Macaca fascicularis: one gene and its partner. The protein of the gene in region 1 purifies or fractionates together with the protein of each later gene. This does not show direct contact. Links are inferred from orthologs where the notes say so. Each region holds a gene or a part of one and is shown in the gene's direction. Other genes may lie near its edges.

What was found.
Region 2: the proteins of VCAM1 (region 1) and MSN purify together in Homo sapiens (affinity purification with western blotting; 3 studies listed by BioGRID, with this or other methods). This does not show direct contact. The link is inferred for Macaca fascicularis from reciprocal best matches to the Homo sapiens genes VCAM1 and MSN.

Annotation. Positions count from the first base shown.
Region 1 is NC_088375.1:133,682,882-133,688,044, reverse strand, and holds part of VCAM1 (vascular cell adhesion protein 1), read left to right. Parts: intron 1-1,229; coding exon 1,230-1,550; intron 1,551-2,871; coding exon 2,872-3,138; intron 3,139-5,163. UniProt on the Homo sapiens protein: Cell adhesion glycoprotein predominantly expressed on the surface of endothelial cells that plays an important role in immune surveillance and inflammation.
Region 2 is NC_088395.1:72,028,844-72,034,006, forward strand, and holds part of MSN (moesin), read left to right. Parts: intron 1-307; coding exon 308-454; intron 455-1,657; coding exon 1,658-1,754; intron 1,755-3,846; coding exon 3,847-4,010; intron 4,011-5,163. UniProt on the Homo sapiens protein: Ezrin-radixin-moesin (ERM) family protein that connects the actin cytoskeleton to the plasma membrane and thereby regulates the structure and function of specific domains of the cell cortex.

The DNA of each region.
Region 1 (5,163 bases):
AGTAGCAAGTTCTTATGTTACCTGACATCAGACTGTGTGGATTAGAGGAACGTTTCTTACAGAATATGAAGGACAGAAATTATTGCTGGAAAAAATGAAAAATACCATGTTTCTTCACATAGCAAAGAATTTCCAGCTCCTTTGTCTTTTGCCCACTAGTACCAAATAGTTGAAGATTTAAAAAAGATAAATGAAGACACTTCTGGCTTTAATTATCTTGCCTGAGGTTTTTCTCCAAGAGTGTCTGGTTTTCATTATGTATAACAGTTCTGTCTCCTTTCCACATTTGATTGTAATAGTGCTTAGAGTTGAGACCTTTGTATTCTTTTTGTTACACAGAGTTTTGAATTCACCAATATGTTACAATATGTTACTTCATGACAATGTGTAATGAAAAAGGTAACTCTTGCAAAGGAGGCAATGGCTACAAGAAGTAGTACATTTCCTTGTACTAGAAGCTTCAATGGAACACTTGGTGGGATACTGAGTTAGGCATTTCAGGAGGCAAATATGTGTTCCAGAACATAAAGATTGCACAAATGTATCTTTCTGGTGGATGAATTCCTATCAGAGGCACCGTTTTCAGAAGCTAATTACTTAAAGTTGGTCTTTTCATGTCTTAGAATATCTTGACAATAACTATTCTTTGCAATGACATTCCAAGCCTTAAAGTCATTATCTGTAAAATGGAAATATATCTGCCCTGACTATAATAAGAAAATGTGATGTAACATAATGTAAATCTGTAGTAGCAAAACCGAGTAATAGAAATCCTGAATTTAAATCCCAGCTTTACCATTTACTAGGTGTGTGACCTTAGATAAGTTATGTAAATGTACTAAGTCCAAGTCTTCTTTTCTGTAAAATGTGATCTCTATCTCCTAGAGTTGTTGTGAGGATAAAATAAAATAATTCATGTTAAATCTATAGCGCAGTGACAGCCACATGTAAGGTTCAATATAAACATTTTTTCTTCCTTCTTTTACTGTAATAACATGCAACCCTTAATATATACAGGATCAGAATAGAATAATGTTCTAAAAAATGTTTGCTTCCAATTCTTGCACCTTGAACTCACCCCAAATCATGACAGGCTATTTAAACAATTCTTCTGTATTAAGACTGTATTAACAAAAACACTAGGCTTGATTTGTATTGTGTTAAAGCAGTAAGAGACCTTATATCCCATGAGCAAAAAGCCCATCCATGTATTTGTTTGACCTTTACAGCTTTTCCTAGGGATCCAGAGATTCATCTGAGTGGTCCTCTGGAGGCTGGGAAGCCGATCACAGTCAAGTGTTTGGTTGCTGATGTATACCCATTTGACAGGCTGGAGATAGACTTAATGAAAGGAGATCATCTCATGAAGAGTCAGGAATTTCTGGAGGATGCAGACAGGAAGTCCCTGGAAACCAAGAGTTTGGAAGTAACCTTTACTCCTGTCATTGAAGATATTGGGAAAGTTCTTGTTTGCCGAGCTAAATTACACATTGATGAAATGGATTCTGTGCCCACAGAAAGGGAGGCTGTAGAAGAATTGCAAGTCTACAGTAAGTACTTGTGCGATGTGTTCCAGTCTTTGTGGGAATCCCACCTCGGTTGTGTATAGCAATAAACTTAGCAGCAAAGTAAAAAAAAAAAAAAAAACAACAAAAAAAAAAACAACAAAAAAAACCACTTGTATATAGTTTGTATTCCATTTGTATTCATTGAGAACATAATGTTTGCCAATAGTACAATTCAATGAAAAGAACACTGGATTTGGATGGAGAAGACTTGAGCTTAATTTCTGTCTCTATTAACTGTGTAAGTTTGGGTTACTTAATTTCTCTATTTCCCAGGGTATAAAAGGGGAATAGTCATACCACCAGATTGGGTAGTGAGAAACAGGTTCAAATAATAAAACACTTTAATATTGTTTTGTAAACTCTTATAGTATGCCTTGAAATATTAGTTGCACAGGTACAGAAACTTGACAAGGTGAGCAGTTATTCTCTCTCTGTGTGTGTATGTGTGTGTGTATGCATATGCACGTACATACATATGTGCATTGGACAGGGAAAAAATGATGGGGTTTGATTGCCTCCAATCTGCCTGATACTGCCAGGGGATTTACGGGAGTCTTACAGTCCCAGCGTTGTGTAGGAGTGGGCTCACTGTGCTCGGTTCTAGTCTAAAATGCTATGTTTTGCACTGGGCACTACATTTAAAAGGAGTATTGCCAACTATGGCATGTTTAGCTGAAAGAGAATGAGCTGGGCAGGCTTTTAACAATATTTTGAGAAGAATAGTCAAGATAGAGGATATTTTTCCTAAGAGAATACAAAACCTGGAAAAGAGCTCTAATTAAGCATTTGAAAGACAGTTATATGAAAGAGTGATTTACCTTTTTCTGTAACAGCACATGGCTGAATTATGGCCAATATGTTTAAATTAGTATAGAGAGAAGATTTCAGCTCAATAGGGAGAAATGTGCTAATACGTAGAGCTGTCCAAAAATCAAATTGACTCTTTTGGAAAGCAATGGGTTGATTCTCTCAGTAAATGTTGAAGTTGACTGGAATGGGCACTTGGCAAGAATGCTTAAATGGGACTCCTACCCTTTAGTGGGAGGTTAAGCCACATGGTTCTTCTTAATTTCTGACTACCTATAACCGTCTGAAAAACATGAAACATCAACTAAACTCGATCAGTTTAGTCAGAAACTGGATAGATTATTTTGAATGATTCAGCAGTTCTTTATACTAATTTGGCAGAGTAATTTCATCAAATTGGTGGAAGCACATAAATACTGTCTAAGAGAAATACATTCCCTCTGTTGCACTGGGATGATGCTTAGCAATTGCTAATATTATTTTTTTGCCTTTTCAGTATCACCCAAGAATACAGTTATTTCTGTGAATCCATCCACAAGGCTACAAGAAGGTGGCTCTGTGACCATGACCTGTTCCAGTGAGGGTCTACCACCTCCAGAGATTTTCTGGAGTAAGAAATTAGATAATGGGAATCTACAGCACCTTTCTGGGAATGCAACTCTCACCTTAATTGCTATGAGGATGGAAGATTCTGGAATTTATGTGTGTGAAGGAGTTAATTTGATTGGGAAAAACAGAAAAGAGGTGGAATTAATTGTTCAAGGTGAGTAGAATGTGAAAAAGGAATGACAAAGGTGCTGTCACTGGGATTTGAGCAATAGTCACACAGCTTCAATGCTGAAATTGCTTCCCTTAGTTTCACTGATGACCTATCTGGTTGCCATAGCCTTTAGCACAAATATATGTTTATCTTACTAGTACTTCTTGGAAGTCTTCCCTCCCAGAGTTTCCATGGCTCTGCTTTTCTGATTCTTTTTCATCTCAAATCACTTTTTCTCTGCTTCATTCCCTCACTTTTTGTCTTCCTCCTGCCTCTGGTATACTGGTATTTTCAAGTTTACATCCCTGGGTCCCCTTCTCTTCTCACGCTAGACTCCCAAGAATTAGACTACAATATGTTGATTACTCCCAAATTCATGTTCCAATTCCATGCTGTTAATTCCTGTCAGTTCTACCTCAAAATGCTCCCCAGAATATGACCTCTTCTTCACCCCACTTGCCATTGCCTTAGTTTATCATTTCTCACTTGGGCTCTTGCAAGATATTCTTACATAACAGCATTCACTAAACACCAGGTATGTTTCAGATATGCCGTCTTCAAGAAATAACTAAAAAGTAAGTATTTTGTATTCCTTTTACAGATGAGAGAGTGGAATCTCCCAGAGATTAATAATGACGCCACCTATTGATTGTACACCTAATGTTTCCCAGGAATTCTACATTCTGCTTTATATATTTTATCTCATTAATCTTTACCACAACACTACTAAAAACCCAGGCTCAGGATAGTTCATACTTTTCCTAGGGCTAAATAGCTCTTTAGTTGCATTTACTATGATTTTAATACAGTTTAATTTTAATGAAAACCCCTTTGCCTTTTTAATTTTATAGCTGATTATCTTTATATTTCTCTTTAGAAATATTTTTAATTGATAAATCATGATTGTTTACATTTATAGATTACAATGTGATGTTTGATATGGGTATACAATGTAGAATGATTAAGTCAACATATTCATTGCCTCACTTATTCTTTTGTGGTGATACATTTGAAATTCACTTTCTTAGGTATTTTAAAATACACAATATATTTTCATTAACTATAGTCATCATGATGTACAATAGATCTCAACAACTTACTCTCCTGTCTAACTGAACCTTTGTACCCATTGACCAACATCTCCTCGTTCGCTTCCTCTCCTTGCCCCAGCCTCTGGTAACCACCATTCTACTCTCTACTTCTATGACTTTAGAAGTAGATCCCACATGTGAGTGAGATCATGAGGTACTGGTCTCTCTGTGCCTGGCTTGTTTCCCTTAGCATATGTCCTCTGGGTTCATCCCTTTTGTTGCAAATGACAGAATTTCCTCGTTTGTTTTTTAAGGCTGAATAATATTTCACATATTTTGTGGCTAATTATCTTTAAATAGTCTACCTGCTAACATTCTGTCCCTAAAATAATCAATCTTCTGCACTGCTCCCAGGGTTTATTACCTTAAACAAAAAGGTGCTCATTTTCTATAACTTCAATCCATTTCTTAAAACTGTCACACAGAACTCTTTATGATCTGGCCAGAAACTACCTTTGCAGCTTTGTTGATAACTTGGTGCCCCTGCTTATGCTGTTCCTTTTGCCTAAAATGGCCTTTCTCCTTCCTTCATCCGGCAAAGTCTTAGCCATTCTCCAATACGAAGCTCATGTCAGCCTCCCAGTTCCAGATTGTGTCAGACCAAACTACATATTCTTTCCTTCGTGTACACTCAACACTCCTTATAGTCATGTATGCAGTTCTGTTCAGTTCCACACATATTAAGAGCCCTTGTCCAAGAATCCAAGAATTCTACTTGGTACCGAGGGTACAGACATGAAAAAGATATGACAACTGCCCTCGGGGGGCATACAAACTAGGAAGGAAGGACAGGCATATAAATAGATAACTCAAATATCCCTTAGTAAGAGCCAAAACAGTATATCTTTTTAAATGTGCCTTTCCACTAAACTGTAAATTCCTGCTCTGGGCACGATGGTTCAAGCCTATAATCCCAGCACTTTGGGAAGCTTAGGTG
Region 2 (5,163 bases), on another chromosome or scaffold:
ATGTGTAAGAGGCTGTCACAATGAATGAGAGAAAGAAAATTGCTTCTGTGGCAGCCAACATGCCAGAGGCCAGCAAGGGTCAACCCATCTTTATTCCCTTTGGGAGCATAGACCCTAGGTTTTTGTTAGGAGATTTTGCTTTGCAAAAGTCATGCTATGCTCTGTTCTCCATCATCTGGTTGCCTTTTGTGCCCTTTCCCACTCCCGATAGCAAGATACTTGTCAGAAGTACAGAGTAAGCAGGCTTTCTCTCTCCTTGGGTCTGACTCACAAGCCCCACTTTGTGACCCCCAACTGTGTCATTTAGGGAGGATGCTGTCCTGGAATATCTGAAGATTGCTCAAGATCTGGAGATGTATGGTGTGAACTACTTCAGCATCAAGAACAAGAAAGGCTCAGAGCTGTGGCTGGGGGTGGATGCACTGGGTCTCAACATCTATGAGCAGAATGACAGGTATATCTCAGATCTCTTTTAGTTTATTTAGGTTATGTTAACATCTAGGGCTCACTTTTCACCAAGGAGCAAGGCCATAGCTCTTGGGTCCCACCTCAGTTCTTTTTCTACCTAATTTAGTCCAGCCCAGATGATTTCACAACTTTCCTTAGGCCTCTAAATCCTGTATTGACTAGACTCACACTGTCAACTGTGGTAGCCACCAGCCACATGGGGCTATTGAACACTTGAAATGTGGCTACTTTGAATTGAGATGTGCTGTAAGTGTAAACTACACACTGGACTTTGAAGATTAGTGTGAAAAACAGAATGCAAAAATGTCTTAATATTTTTAAAAATATTTATTTACATGTTCAAATGATAATATTTTAGATATATTGGGCTAATTAAACTTATTAAAATTTTATTACATCCATTTCTTTTTACTTATTTTCATGTAGCTACTAGAAAACTTAAAATTATATATGTGACAGTCATTATGTTTTTATTGATTTGTGCAGGCCTAGACTGTCTTATCGGGATATATTATGATTAGTCTCCTGTGATAATTAAATGGCTTTTGGCCTATAATCCTCTCACTGTAGCCTTATCTCACTTGCTTATATTTTTCACTTGGTGTGCTCTTGGTGAGAATGGAGATCAATAGATTATTGTTCCATATAACTGCTGAATCTTGGAGTTCATTATTTACGTTTTCTCTAACTTTTGTAAGCTTGGATAGAAGAAACTCAGTTAAATAGGGCTGGGGATTCCCTTGAGGAATTGTTACAAGTTCCATGCCTCAAACAAAAACATAACAAAACAAACTCGAGACAAGGAATCATATGTTAGTTGTAGTATCAGGAGATCCTTTAGTGAACTCAATGCTGGCAACTGACCTGGTGGCATGTGATGACACTGGCTGAGCTGGCACCGAGTCTACCTCCTCCAGAGAGAAGTGTTTGTTTGGCCAAGCTTGGTGGCTCATGCCTGTAATCCCAGCACTTTGGGAGGCTGAGGAGGGAGGATCGCTCGAGCCCAAGAGTTCAAGACCAGACTGGGTAACATAGTGAGACCTCGTCTCTATTTATTTAAAAAAAAAAAAAAGAGAGAGAGAGAGAGAGAGACATAGAAGCTTGGGGGTGATGTGAGGGCAAGCCACCAGTTCTCTACGCCCTTCTTGTCTTGCCCTTGTCCTGATATTATTGGTTTCCATTTCTACAGACTAACTCCCAAGATAGGCTTCCCCTGGAGTGAAATCAGGAACATCTCTTTCAATGATAAGAAATTTGTCATCAAGCCCATTGACAAAAAAGCCCCGGTGAGTGATTCCTCCCTCTGACCAAGACGGGTACTTGCCAAGGCCTTCTATAATGAGCAATCATGCTATTCTATTTTTCTCTTCCTTTGCTGGTTTGTGTGTGTGTGTATGTGTGCGTGTGTGTGTGCGCGTGCATGTGTGTGCACACATGCACGAACAGGAAGCACAGATAGAGATTGGGAATGGAGGGAGATGTTGATGCCAAAAATGGCCAGCAGACATCCTGTACCTGATTCTACTCTGCTACCTGTCTCCCTCACTGTGGATGAGGGAGAGCCACAGGCAGTGTTAAGTACTACTTCTTAGCCGTTGTCTCTGCCGCCCTGAGATTCTGGGGTGGAAACCAAATGCATCTCGTATTTCCAAGCCCCTGGGGTCCCGAAAAGTGGACACTGTTCACATATTTGATTCCTTTCTTTTCTTTTCTTTTCTTTTTTCTTTTCTCTTCTCTTCTCTTCTCTTTTCTTTTCCCCTCCCCTCCCCTCCTCTCCCTCCCTTCCCCTTCCCTTCCCTTCCTTCCTTTTTTGACAGAGTCTCGCTCTGTCGCCCAGGCTGGAGTGCAGTGGCACAATCTTGGCTTACTACAACCTCAGCCTCCCGAGTAGCTGGGATTACAGGTGCATGGCACCGTGCCCGGCTAATTTTTGTAGTTTTAGTAGAGACAAGGCTTCGCCATGTTGGCCAGGCTGGTCTTGAACTCCTGACCTCAGGTGATTTGCCTGCCTTGGCCTCCCAAAGTGCTGGGATTACAGGTGTGAGTCACCATGCCCAGCCCTTGATTTCTTTTTTTTATTATGGAGAAATGGCTGTGACCAGAGAAGTACAAATCCCAAGATGATCCTACAAACTTCTTGGTAGAACTTGACTGCTGCCCTCTCAGACTTTTCTCCAGAGCATTCCAAGACCAAAAAAGTGCTTTAACTTCACTCATTTCTCTAACACACTCGCCACACTTCTTACCCACTCAGTAGCCTGCAGCTAACAAGACCAGACAGCTGGTGATTGTGGTAGGGTAGGAAACTGAGCTGAGTATCTCCTTTTCTGCGATACCTCATGTTCAACAAGGCCCAGTGACAATACTGCGCCTGACCCTTTTCATGAAGGCTCAACCATTCTTCTCCAGCCCTGAGGTGTCTGAACTTTCCCTGCTAGGGACTTTACACGTTGTCTCCTTAAACCCTCAGCAACATGGTCAGGTAGGTAGTAAGTAGCATACTAATTTTATGGTTGACAAAACTGAGGTTAGAGAGATGGAGTGATTTGTTCAAGATAACACAGCTAAAAATGGTAGAACTGGGATTTGTACCTAGGTGATTTGACTTTGAGAGCCTGTGCTCCCTCCACTGCACCCCAAGCTATATGAGACAGTAGCAGTGTGTGGTCAGTGGCAGAGGAGATGGCGGTTAGCCCGTCAGCTGGTGACTTTGGTCCAGTGGTATTTGTAGTAGCAAACTCAAACTCACTGGATTTTCTTGTGTGTTTTCTTTTATTGCTACTGTGCTCAACTTTTATCAGAAAAAGTTGAGTAACAAAGCCAGCTGAGATCAAGGGCTCATTTTAAAAACAACAACCAGGACAAGCAGTGATCAGGAGATTTATGTATTTATATATGTATTTACAGCCTGCCTTGTTCCAAAAAGGATTTAAGGGGCTGGCTCTAGGATTTGCTTTCAGGAGATTGTAGAAACAGTCCAGTCACCCATACTGCACCCACCAGCGTATTGTCAGGGGTCATTTGGCTTCCAAAAGAGGTCACCTGAGACCTAGCATGTTCCCTAATTAGCAGAGAAAGTTTGAATCCTTCAACTTGATTAAGAGTAATTTAGGATGCTTTCATAAGCAAAGATTGAAAGAAATTGTGGGAAGAACACGGGTTTCAGAGTCAAGAAACCTGGGTTTCTAGTCTTTGGTCTGCCTGCTGTCTGACCCTGGGTAAGTCACTTTACCACTCTGATAATTAGTCTTCCCATCTGTAGTGCAGGAGGTTAGATTAGACATTCTTTTCAGTGCTTTTGGATTTAGCTTTTCAGAAGGCAGAAGATCACCTTCACCTGGCCCTCCGAATTCTTTCTGATTGCTGATTTCCCACCAGGACTTCGTCTTCTATGCTCCCCGGCTGCGGATTAACAAGCGTATCTTGGCCTTGTGCATGGGGAACCATGAACTATACATGCGCCGTCGCAAGCCTGACACCATTGAGGTGCAGCAGATGAAGGCACAGGCCCGGGAGGAGAAGCACCAGAAGCAGATGGAGCGGTAGGTGCTGCACACTGATGTGGGGGGCCAGGGCTGGGGCAAGGAAGCTTCTCAAAGGTACCCAGCCTGCTAAGTCAGGACATGAGGCCAACCTAGGACTTCATAGATAAGAGGTTAGACACCAATGTTCACATTTATTCAGAAAACATTTACCAAGTTTGAGGGGCAGTTTTTACAGAGCTGGATCTAGCAGGAACCTGCCCTGTAGGACCTCACAGTCTACTCAGTCTAGTAGCAGAGAGAGGGAAAACAATATATACATAACTCAAGGTACAAACGCCATGCCATTCATTCACTTAATAAATATTTATTGAGCAATGAATAAGAAAAGACCAAAAATCTCTGCTTTTGTGAAGCTAGCATTCTAGTGGGGAGGAGACAAACATAATAAATAAGCAAATTATGTGGTACATAAGATGGTTAAGAATTGCTATGGAGAAAAAAACATAGAAGAGGGGTGGGGAGAAGGGTAAGCCAAGTATTCTGAGGGCTCAGATGGAGAATACCTAGCCAAGGGAGATAAGAAGGTTCCTGGAAGAGGTGCTAGGGCAAGAAAAAGCAAATACCTATTCCAGATTTGTAACAAACTCTGGGAAAAAGAAGCCTAGAGCTGGGCTTTAGGGCAGACAGATTTGGACCTGAGGACTGATGCACTAGCCATAGAGATTACTGGACTTGAAGCACTTCATCCCAGCAGAGAGCCAAAACTTGTCTCCCTACAAGGTATATAGGGCAGGTCTTATTGGACCATTTTCAAGATAGGGGAACAAGAGCAAAGCAGTGACATAGCTAAGGTCACCCAGTGGGTTGGTGGGAGAGCTAGGATTCCTGACTCAGGGGCACATTGACAGGGCCCCGTGTACACTGGCCTATGTGGGGCTGTGATATGAGGACAAAGGTATAGAGGTAAGGGAGGGTGGCCCAAACTCACAATCCCTGAGTGTGTTGAGAAGGTTGGGTTGAGAGACCCAGAGGCAGCAAGCCTTGCAATTCCCCAGGCTTTTTTTTTTTTTTTTTTTTTTTTTTGAAAATGGAGTCTTGTTCTGTTGTCCACGCCGGAGTGCAGTGGTGCAATCTCAGCTCACTGCAACCTCCGCCTCCCAGGTTCAAGCGATTCTCCTGCCTCAGCCTCCCGAATAGCTAGGGCTACGGG